2 linked regions of the Caenorhabditis elegans genome follow. The protein of the gene in region 1 interacts with the protein of each later gene in a pairwise test. Each region holds a gene or a part of one and is shown on either strand. Other genes may lie near its edges. The genes, in order: clec-64 and C53D5.5.

Region 1 (4,570 bases):
ATTTAAAGTAATTACACACTCCTACGTTTCAGGGGAGAAGGCGAGCTCGACCCCATTCCAGTCGCCGATCGTCTCAAGTCCTCCGGAGTCGTTGTCTCCACCGTTGCCTTCGACCAGGACGGAGATGAGGCTCTTCTCGCCGGACTCACCAACATCGCCTCGCCAAACTACGCTTTCACCTCCAAGGACTTGAACTTGGTTGGAGAACTTCAAGGAGCTGCTCTTCAAAGTAAGATCCTTAGTTGTTCTACCAATACATAAAATTTCAAAATTACAGCCAACTGCTTCTGCCCGAACTTGTGGACCCAATACAAGTCGAACTTCGACGACGAGAACTCTTACAAATACGGAGTGTGCATCCGCCCCGCCACCATCTCCTCATCCTGGACCGCTGCCAAGTTCGCGTGCCAGAACCTCGCCAAGAACGGATTCCTCGCCGCCGAGTACGACGGACAGAAGCACAACTTCCTCTTCAGAGTCGCCCAGAACAACACCGCCTTCCAAGCTCCATACATCTATCACATCGGATTGAGTTATGTGAACGGAGGATGGAATTGGCAGCAACCAGCTGGATACCCACTCAAGCCAGTAAGTTTTGCCGTTGTCACGTAATGATGTAAGATGATGATAGTCGTATTGAACCTTGAAAAAGATCAAATCACTAGAAGTGATAACGAAAAATTGAACATTGTTCGGATGATAAGCCTAATCAATTTTCAGATGAGCGGCTACTCCAAATGGAACCCATCCTATCCAAAGTCCTTCACCAGCAACATCGGAGTCGTTGAGCAGCAATTCAGCTCGGATCTCACTGTTGGATGGCAGAACATCAACGCATACAGTGTTGCTGAGTACTACATGTGCGAAGTCGCTTCCTGTGATACCGACAAGTATTGTTAATTTAGCTACACTAATTTTTTTTGTAAGGTTCCTGTTGCGGTATAAAGGCTTTAATGATGAATTTTTTTTTTAATTTGCTTTCACATTAAAATAATTTGTCGAATGGAAAAAATCAAGAAATATAATACTGTTTAAATAATTTCTGAAGTGTAGTAAAACTTATATTGTAGATTCATCCCCTCACAGTTGTGTTGTCCGCAAATCAAACTACAAAATACAAAGAAGACAGACTGAAAGTTGTGTTCAAGTTTCAATAGTTTACCGAACTAGGCCATTTTGGCTCGGACATATCTGGGGTAGATTTACGGCGCGTCGCGGCTCGGTTTTAGTTGTAAAGCTGAATGCATTTGTCCGTGTAGAGTACACGACTATCCCACCCGTTGTCCGGCTTGTCAATGGAGCGAGAAAAATGTAATGAGGAAGGCCAGAACCCCGTTAAAAAATCAACATTTTCTCAAAAATATAAATGTTAAAAGCTCTTAACCTTTCACTTTCACCTACCCAAAACTAAAATTAATTACAAATTCGATTGCATCGAAAATCACTAAATTTCGTTATCATTGAGCAAATAATGTGTGCACACCCGTGTGGAAATGCTAATCCCTCGAAAAAAAAAACTCATAAAAGATTATTTTCAGAATATCATCATTTCCTTACTTTTCCACATTCAAGTTTACTTTTTTCCATATTGTTCAGGCAGGTAGGCATGTTTTGGTTTCTCATGAAAAACAGGCACGCACACATGCCTATTTATCTGCCTGCATGCCTGCTTTTTGTCAATTTTCTGTTGTTTGGCGTTTTTTTGAAAATTGGTTTTCAAACTTACTGCAATTATTTTGAATGCATTTTTACAGTTTTTCGGTATATGAAGCTGAAGCTATGAAGCTCCAAAATTTCCAGCAATGTTACTAAACCTACTTGCCATTTTCACTGCTTTTGCAACAACCCAAGCTTCAACTGATCGCAACTGTGGAAGTAACTGGAATAACCTTTGGCTAGACATCGTTATAGTCGTGGATAACTCGAAAGGCATGACAAACGAAGGAATCACAGAAGTTGCAGCCAATATTGCGACCACATTTGCAAGTGGCCCAAGAATTGGAACGGACTATTCTGATCCAAGATCTACCAGGCTTAGCATACTCACTTATAATAGTGAGGCTACAGTTGTCGCTGACTTGAATCAGTTTCAGTCGGCCGATGACGTCTATCAGACGCTTTTCTCGTTTCTCAATGAGGTCAGTGACTCTGATGATTCGTTCCTGGCGAAAGGGCTTGGGATGGCTGAGAGTGTTCTTTACAATGGAAGGATGAATGGAGTTAGAGAGAATTATAATCGATTGGTTGTGGTTTATGCTTCAGCTTACAGGTAGAAGCTTAGATTTGTTTTTTGAAAGTTAAACTAAAATTAGTTTATATACAATTTCTTGCCAATATTTGGAAAAGAAAAACTCATAAACGTTTCAAACGGTATGTAGTTTGAATCAGGGTTTGCAGTTCGGCAAATCGGCAACTTGCCGGTTTGCCGGAACTTTTCCATTCCGGCAATCTGCATGTTTTCAAATTGCCGGAAAATATATCATTATCATTTTCAGCAAATTTTTTTGTTCACAAATTCGATAAATTGGCAAATTGCCGGAAGTTTGCCGGAAATGTTTAGAGCGATTTTTTTTAAGATGAAAACACATAAAACTCTGCCTTTTTGAAATTTTACCCCGTTTTCTTAATATATTTTTATAGAATTTGCATTCTACTCAAAATAGATGTAGAAACATTCATAGGATACGTACATTTTTGCCGATTAAAATTGAAATTCTGAAATTTCCAAAAAAAAAATGTGCAAGACCACAATTTGCCCGAAATTTTTATTCCGGAAATTTGCCGATTTGCCGGAAATTCGCTGATTTGCCGGAAATATTTATTCCGGAAATTTGCCGATTTGCCGGAAATTTGCTGATTTGCGATTTTCCGGAAATTTGCTGAAAATTTGCCGATTTGCCGGAAATTTTTATTCCGGTAAATTTGCCGATTCGCAGGAAATTTTCATTCCGAAAGTTTGCCGGTTTGACAAAAATTCCAACTCCGGCAATTTGATCCGATTTGCCGGAAAAGTCGTTTGCCGAAAAAAAAAGTTTTTCCAGAGAAGATGGAGAAGACCCCCTAAACATTGCAAAACGTCTGAGATCATCTGGAGTAGCGATCGCAACCGTCGCTTTTGACCCAGATGGAGATGGGCTCCTACTGAGCAAGCTCTCAAAAATCGCATCACCAAATATGTCATTCAAGTCTAGAGATCCCAATTTGGTCGGCAAAATTCAGGCAGCCGCTCTTCAGAGTACGTTTTCTCTTTCTTAGTGGTGGAATTTTACAAAAAATTTAAAATGGTTTGATTTCAGCAAACTGTTTCTGTCCAAGAACTTGGATTCAATACAGGCCAAGCTATGACGACGAGAAGTCTTATAAATTTGGAATTTGCATCCGAGCCGAAACTATAACTGCATCATGGGCAAGTGCAAAGATCGCTTGCCAGAATAGCATTAAATATGGTTACCTTGTAACCGAGTTTGATGATCGGAAGCATGATTTTTTGTTCAGTGAGTCATTCATACAAGTTTTCCAGTGCCAAAGACTTTGCACAATATTTAGAATTCCAGGAATAGCTCTGAACAATGCTGAATTCACTGAACCTTACGCTTATCACACCGGGTTGAGCTATGTCAACGGAGCATGGAGATGGCAGCAGCCAGAAGGACACCCACTCATTTTGGTATAACAGCTTTAGCTTTATTTTTCCTCTCTGTCTGGCAACTCAATATACTGTAATTCCAGCAAAATGGAAGTTACTCGCATTGGAATCCAACATATCCGAACACCCCATTCACCAACACCGTTGTCGTTAATCATCAGCATAACTCGAATCTAGACGTCGGATGGCAAAACATCAATGGATACCGAGAAAATGAGAATTATATGTGTGAAGTTGCATCATGTGATACTGATAAATATTGTGATTGAATTTATTGTACATATATGTATGTATTTTGAATTAGTTTGCTTATCGAAGTTTACCAATTTTCAGAAAATCGTACTTAGGTAGTATAGAGTATCGAAATCTGAGACTTTGCTGTTTTGGAGCCAAAATTACCCAAAAAACCGAATTTCGTATTGAAACGTTTTGAAAATTTCTTTTAAAAAAGTTATGGCGGTTCAAAGTTCTAGAAAAAAGGATTATTTTCAGCTAAAATAACATTGTTTGGAACTTAATTTTTGATTCAATTGTCACTCTTTAATAGATATTGTGGTCTTTTACTAGGAGTTTATTCGTTGATTTAAGTCCTTTTTCGGCCAGTGGGGCACAAACAAAAATTACATTTTTGTGTCTCACAGACCTTGAATGTACTCAAATCAACGAATAAACTCCTAATAAAAGAACATAATATTTATTAAACAGTTTAAATTAAATATGCTGTGACACCGAGAAGTTGACAAAAATTTTGATTTTACAATTAGCTAAAAAACTAGCCTTTTTTTCATAATTTTGAACCTCCATAACTTTTTTTTTCGAGGAATTTTCGAAACGTCTCATTACGAAATTCGGTAGTTTTGGGTCATTTTGGGTCTAAAAAAACAAAGTCTCAAATTTCGGTACTCCACCTTTAATGGTGTTCGG
Region 2 (7,580 bases), on another chromosome or scaffold:
TTCACGACGGAGTTCGTACGGCTTCCGCTGAAATCATGCCATGCTTGTTGACCTGTGTTGAGAAGCAAGGATTGGCTGACAAGCGTCGTTTGTGGTGCGAGTTCTTGAAGGCATTGACGACCTCTATGGAGGAGGAGGACGATGTCGAGATTCTCGCCTCGTTCATGACGACCATCGGATCGTGCATTGAGGTTATGAAAACCGAGGGAATCGCCGAGGAAGAGGTTCAACTCATCATTTCGGTGCTTCTCAAGCAACTTGAAAACTACGGAAAGAGAATGAGCGATCGTCCAGTTGAAGATGAAGATGACGATGATGCTGAAGCTAAGGAGGAGCTCGATTATTTCATGGAATTGGAGGCCTCATGCCTTGGAGCCATCTCTGATTTGACTCACTCTCTTATGAAGGAGTTCAAGGGAACTATCTTCGAGGGAATGATCAACGTGTTCAACTGTGCCATTCAACTCATCGAGGGATCCAAACAATACTTCGAGAGACAATGGGGAATGTGCCTTCTCGATGACGCCATCGAGTTCGGTGTCGGACATATGCCAACTCGCTTCCCGAAGCTTATTCCAATAATGTACAAGTTGTTGGGAGATGAGTATCCTGAAGTGAGACAAGCAGCGAGCTACGGTTTCGGAGTTATGGCCATCAACTACCACCAGATCAGCGACTACCGAAACGAGATTTTGAGCTGTTTGGAGCCACTGGCCGCCATGATTCAACGAGAGGACGCCCGAGCCACCGAGGAGAGCACTGTTGCCACGGAAAACGCGATTTCTGCATTTGCCAAAATCATCGGCAATGTGCCACTTCCTGCTGAAGCCTACGGAAAGGTTGGTTTTAGAATTCAGTTTTTCAAGAAAAAAGTTCCATATTATTTCCAGGTCGTCGAGATGTTCCTGAGCTGGTTGCCAACATATTCAGACACCGAGGAAAGCCCCTACATTTACACGTGTCTCGCCGAATTGTTTGATAAACAAGACGCCGCACTTTTTGGACCAGAAAATCAGAATCTTCCGAGAATCTTCCTTGTTTGTAAGTTCTAATCTAAAAAAATCCGTAACTTATTTTATTTTTATTTGTATTTTTCAGGCTTGCTCTCAATCGCCAACGATGCTTTCAACGACGACGATAGCGGCAACCAAACCAAGCAAAGAATTGTCACAATCCTGAAGCAAATCTACGCATCGTTCCCACAATTCGCGCAGCAAGATGGAATCGACGAGCACCTTACCAGTGTCCTTCAACAAACTCTCAATGGGCAATAATAAGGACTTTTGTTGTGTTTTTTTTTTTGCTGTTATCTTCTCCATCTTCACCGAAATGAATCTTGTTCACTGTTAATCGCTTGTTTCGCGGCTATCCTCCTATCATCATCATCAGTTTCTTCTTTTGTTCCACCACTTCTCCCCGATGCCACATTTTCTCTAATTTTTATTAGTTACCTATCGACTTTTTTTCTGTTGTGTTGAATATTATCCTCATTTTCAAATCTACTCGTTAGTTGTTACAGTTAAAGTTTTTGAAAATAATTTCAGCCAAAACCTCCACTTTCTCCTATACTCCAAATCTAAAAGTCATTCTTCCGTAGTCCTCATTGTTCCCCCTTCCACCCAACTCTCTCCCACCACAGAATATCTCTTCTGTCACTTGAAGACTATCCTCGATAAAGAGAGCTATTGGCGGTTACCCCCTCTTCTCTTCTCTTCTCGTTTGTCATTGGAGCGCGCTTACACGCAGCAAACTGTAGCTCTTATCTAGTTTTGCGATAGAATTCCGTTATCGTGAAAAGTTGCAATTTTGACATTCTCGTCCTAAATTTCCAATTGACAGCGCTTTGACTTTTTCTATGATTTTTTAATTCATACTCAATTCTGAATAATGACTCCTGAAGGGCAATCGACGAGGTGAGAGAAAAATCGATAATGTTAAAAATTCGCGGGTTTTTCGAGAAAATATTATACGTTTGTGAAAAAAATTCGAATCGAGACCCAAACGAGGCGGCATGAGTTTCTGAAAAAAATATATATATGGATTCAAGATTTAAAAAGTGCATTGTTTTTAAATTTATAATGCTGGAAATATTACCCAAATGCGAAAATACGGTACCAGGTCTCGAAACGACCAATTTTTTAAAAATAAAAACAAGCGTGCGCCTTTAAGGGAGTACTGTAGTTCTCACATTTGCAAATTCTTTCAAAAAAATCATGATGCTTTGAAAACAACTATCGATGAAAATTTAATTTTTTGAAAAAATTGATACAACTTTTTTGGTATATGAAAAACGGGCAATATTTTCGGAATTTCGAAAATTAAATTAAATTTTATGAAAAGTCGATAAAAATCGATACATTTTTGTTTGAAATTGCACAAATTCAAATTTTAGAATCTAGAAATCTATAAATTCAAATTTTTTAATCCAGAAAATCGATTATTTTCTCAAAAAATTGAAAATACTCTTCAGATTCATCTTTTTTGTGGAATATTCAAATTTTTGGGAAACCTCTGATTTTTGAAAATTCCATTTTTAAATCAGAATTATTACGGCAACACAAAATTCTGAGAATGCGTATTGCGCAACATATTCGACGCGCAAAATATCTCGTAGCAAAAACTACAATAATTCTTTAAATGACTACTGTAGTGTTTGTGTCGATTTACGGAAATCATTCATTAGTCGATAAATTGTTTTTTAAAAAACACAAAAAAAATGAAAAAACCGAAACCCCGTAAATCGACACAAGCTTTACCGTAGTGATTTAAAGAGTTACTGTAGTTTTCGCTACGAGATATTCTGCGCGTCAAAAATGTTGTGCAATACGCATTCTCAAAATTTCGCGGTCTTGTAATAATAGTGATCATGCCACTCAATACATCAAATTTGACGCGCAAAACTCGACTTTTCAGCAGTAACCCACCTCCTGTTCAATACTATAACACGTTTCCGGACGATGATAATTTACCGCCAGAATATGGACCATTTGATGAAGTTGAGCCGCTTATCGAGGCCGAGCAACCCATGAAAATCCGTACTTTAGTCGCGGCGGTCGGCTTAACGGTTCTCGTATTCACGTTGTTAATCTCAACGGTCGCATTCGCTTCATTGTATTTTCATTTACTAATGCAGGTTTGTTAGAAAGCTAGGCCACGAGGGTGAAAACTAGTCCGCAGTCGGTTCATGGCTGGCCGATTTGCTACGTGGCCGATAAAAATAAAACTCGGCAAGGTTTCCAGAACAATGCCCGCCTACCCCGTTGGCCTGGACCATCACTTTCTCCACTCGGAAAATATTCGAAAGCCGCCGTCGCCGCCGACAACGAAATTTGCTCAGAAATCGGTCGGAATATTTTGCTGAAAGGCGGAAATGCGGTGGATTCGGCAATCGCCGCACTTTTCTGTATCGGTGTAATGGATACACATTCGGCCGGAATTGGCGGCGGACATTTTATGACTATTTATAATGCGTGAGTTGTTGGTCTCGCCACGAATTGGAGCGGAACATCAATAATTAAAAAAAAAGATAATTATTAATATTGATTTTTCAACTAAAAATCAATAATCGAAAAGGAAAACAAAGAAGAAAAATTTTGGAAGAAAGAATGATTTTCCTAGGCCATTAAAAACATTTTTGCAAACATCACATTGTGGCCTCACTGGTTTCTGGCCTTCGTCAAAGCGTTTTTCTCGCGCTCCATTGACAATCGTCTACACGACGCTCCGTAAATTTACCCCGGTCGTGGCCTAGTCCAAACGGGCTAACTCGGCAAACTCTTCCATTTCAAAATATGAGGAAAGCCAGAAGCGCGTGTGGCCTTTAAACTTCTGCCGTGGCCTAAAAATATTTTCAATGACTTAGAAACCTCTAAAATTCTTCCAGAACGACAAAAGAGTGTACGGTAATCGATGCTCGGGAGATTGCTCCGCTCGCCGCAACAGAGGAAATGTACCGTGACAAATGGAATCAGTCGAGAATCGGATGGAAGGCGATTGCGGTGCCCGGAGAGCTTCACGGCCTCCGGACTGAATTCGAGAGATTCGGAAGTGGAAAAGTCGAGTGGAGACAGTTGTTGAAACCAACTATTGATTTGTTGGCTGAAGGTGGGCACTTTTTCTGCGAGCCTAGAATATTTCTGTTGGCCTAAAAAACTCCTAACGGCGTAGAACATTTTTGATGCTCAAAAACTTTTCTGGTGGCCGTTTTTAGACCGGCCAACAATCCCTAGGGGTAACGGATAACGGGGGCAACGGATTTAATATTCCCCGGGGACAACGAAAAAGGGGGGGGGCAACGGATTCAACGCTGCTCGAAGGCAACACAACAGGGGTAACGGAAATGGAGGCAACAGAACAATAATCCCTGAGGGCAACAAAAAGCGAGGCAACGGAATATTGAGCTCTTGGTAAGTTAAATGTTGAACTTTTTGTAAAAATCAGTTTAAAAGTTTCTCCAATTACTGTGTACGTTAAGATGGGTATCACAATAAGTCTCACCACGGCGTGTCTCACCACGATGGGTCTCATCACGATGGGTCTCTCAACGGAGGGTCTCGCCACGATGGGTCTCACCACGATAGGCCTCGTCACGATGGGTCTCGTCACGATGGGTCTCGCCACGATGGGTCTCGCCACGATGGGTCTCACCACGAAGGGAGACGGGCCCAAATTTTTTCAGGAGGAGAAGACGAGTAGTTTATTACATTACTAAAAATTTCTAGACCATCAAAAAATTTCTAGGTCACCATAAAAATTCTAGGCCATCATAAAAATTTCTAAGCCATCATGAAAATTTCGAGGTCACAAAATAAGTAACTATGTTATCGGTTCATGTTTCTAGGCCATCCTAAAAAATTCCAGGCTACCCAACGTCCCATGCCCTTGCAAAAGCTCTCAACCAAAACGAGCACCAAATCCGCGCGGAGCCCACCATGAAAAACTTCATCAACCCCGAAACTCAGCGTGTCTTCCAACCAGGAGAGCAGATAAAAACCCGCCAAAACCTTCTAGAAACATTCCGGCTACTCGCAAACTCCACAGATCCCATCGCCGACTTTTATACAGGTCGGCTCGCCGAGCAACTCGCCAAAGAGTTCGAAGCCAACGGTGGGATCATCCGGCTTCAGGACTTTAAAAATTACAAATCAATAGTCCACGACTCAAAAAATGTGATCTACACAAAGCTGAAAAACGGGCGCGGAGTCTGCGGCCCGCCGCCTCCCTCGGGCTCAGCGGTGGCTCAGGCAATACTTAACGTGATGGATGGCTTCGAATATAACATGAAGTCGTTCAACGAAATCGCAACGTTATACCATCATTTTCTGGAATCTAGCAAATTTAGTTATGCGGCTAGAAGCTGGCTTGGCGACCCGCAATTCGTGGCAAACGCCACGGAAATCGCCAAAAATATTACGTCAAAAGAGTGGGCGGATTGGGTTAGGTCGAAGATCACAGACACGACGCATCCTGATGATTACTATGGAGGATCGTTTGAAGCACCACCGCAGGATCATGGAACAACTCATGTATCGATTATCGATGCAGACGGCAATGCAGTTTCGGTTACGTCTACCATTAACTTATAGTGAGTTTGGCTTTTTTAAAGGAAATTTTTGGTGGCCGAACTTCGAAAACTCGGCCAGCAAGTGAGAAGTTAGTCCTCAGTCGACAAGCAACTGCAGTTGATAAAAATGAACAAGTTCGAGGTCGTCACCAAAAATTTTAAACTAATTAGGCCAGGGGATGATTTTAGGCAGTCTTAATAGTAAATTGTTTACCACCTGGATTTTATACCGAAGTGATTTCATAATCTGGGCCACGTGTATAATTTCTAGACCATCAACCAAAGTTTATATACGCCCACCTGAAATTTGGAGGCCATCACCTTTCAATTCTAGGCCATCAGTTAAAAACATTTTTAGGACGACGTTCAATTTTTAGGCCATCAGTTCAAGTTTATAGGCCACAAACTTAAATTTCTAGGCCATCACTTTGACTTTTTCGGATATGAAGACATTTTCTAGGCCACCGCCAAAAAAACTCTTCCACCATCTCAAATTCTTCCAGCCTGGGTGCCCTAGTATCCTCCGAATCGACGGGAATTCTCTGGAATAACGAAATGGACGACTTTTCCACTCCCGGTCATCCGAATTTCTTCGGTTTCCCACCGTCTCCCGCCAATTTCATTCGCCCTGGAAAACGCCCCATGAGTAGTCAAAGTCCATTAGTGATCTTTAACACAAAAGGGGCGGAGCTTATGGCGGTCGGCGGAGCCGGTGGATCCACCATTATTTCGGGTGTTGCTGGAGTTGCACTGCATGCGTTATGGCTGAAAGCAGATGTTAAACAAGCTGTTGATGCTCCAAGGATGCACAATCAGTTACAGGTAGAGAATTACACGCGAAATTTGATTTTTTTTTTGTTGGAAAAATCGATAATTGTCAAAAAGTTGATTTTTTAAAAATAAAAATCAATAATTTTCAGAAAAAAAACTTCTGAATTTAATTTTCAATCAATTTTCGACTTTCACATGAAATATTTTTCAATCAATAAAATCAAAACCTTTCCCAATTTCCTTATTTTTTAGCCAAATTACACGTGGTACGAGCCAAACTTCCCGAAAGCCTACGTGAAATCCCTGATCGATCGTGGTCACGTAATGAAGGCAGTGAACAATTTGACAGTTGTCACCGCCGCCGAACGACTTTCCGACGGCCAAATCTATGCGAACAGTGATTTCCGAAAAGGGGAGGAGTCAGCGCCAGCGGGATATTGATTATTATGTTCATATTTTAAATTTTGTGACTTTTTTGTTGATTTTTTGTAGAAATCGGGTGAAATTTGAAAATAAATGTTCTAGTTTTCGCACTTGTGTTAACACTTTTTTACTGGTCTTGTGGCCGCGTAAATAGGAAACTCGGCCATCGATTTTTTAGAACATTTTTTATCTTAAGAAAAACTCTTTTCATAATGTTGTGTATTCGAAGGCGAGACGAGGAGGAGAAGACGAGTAGTTTATTACATTACTAAACTAAGGAATAAATAAGTTAGTTCATAGAGTTCACGTTGTACGATCTTCTTAGCCACGTCGTGGGTCAATACACGTTGATACCCAACACATAAATAGTAAGTTTAGTCAGGGTTTTTCAGTTTTCAAGCCAAAAATTTGTCTGTAAAAATTCAAAAAAGGAAACAAAGTTTTTTTTTAAATTAAAATTCTTCATATAAATTCAGAGTTTTAAAACTTCAAACCCGTAACAATGAACGAGGTACAAATGAGACAAGGTGAAACATATTACACGTTCGTCAAAATTTTTTTTCGAGGAAAGTGTAATAATACATGAACCCATAATAAAACGCGATGATGTTGACGATGATGATGATGATGCAGAGCAAAAAATGATGACAGAATTATGAGAAAAAAACGAATAAAATTTCAAAATCCTAAGCTTTCGGGCTCTGTGAGCCATGGAAAAATGAGCCAGAACACAAAAAAAGGAAAATATGGAAAAAAGCACCAGAAAATTATAAGACACGGGGATTTTTTGACACATGGAGTAGAAGAAAAAAAAAGAAAGAAT

What was found.
Region 2: the proteins of clec-64 (region 1) and C53D5.5 interact in a two-hybrid assay, tested with the Caenorhabditis elegans proteins (one large-scale study listed by BioGRID).

What each region holds. Positions count from the first base shown.
Region 1 is NC_003280.10:12,896,488-12,901,057, forward strand, and holds clec-64 (VWFA domain-containing protein), read left to right. Parts: upstream 1-1,754; 5' UTR 1,755-1,802; coding exon 1,803-2,269; intron 2,270-3,041; coding exon 3,042-3,235; intron 3,236-3,296; coding exon 3,297-3,494; intron 3,495-3,554; coding exon 3,555-3,667; intron 3,668-3,729; coding exon 3,730-3,915; 3' UTR 3,916-3,952; downstream 3,953-4,570. Other genes in the region: clec-63 (C-type LECtin), read left to right, coding at 33-229, 278-588, 721-900.
Region 2 is NC_003279.8:305,095-312,674, reverse strand, and holds C53D5.5 (Gamma-glutamyltranspeptidase 1), read left to right. Parts: upstream 1-1,884; 5' UTR 1,885-1,887; coding exon 1,888-1,913; intron 1,914-2,913; coding exon 2,914-3,133; intron 3,134-3,240; coding exon 3,241-3,470; intron 3,471-3,883; coding exon 3,884-4,104; intron 4,105-4,860; coding exon 4,861-5,584; intron 5,585-6,066; coding exon 6,067-6,385; intron 6,386-6,586; coding exon 6,587-6,775; 3' UTR 6,776-6,864; downstream 6,865-7,580. Other genes in the region: imb-3 (Importin N-terminal domain-containing protein), read left to right, coding at 1-839, 891-1,041, 1,099-1,274.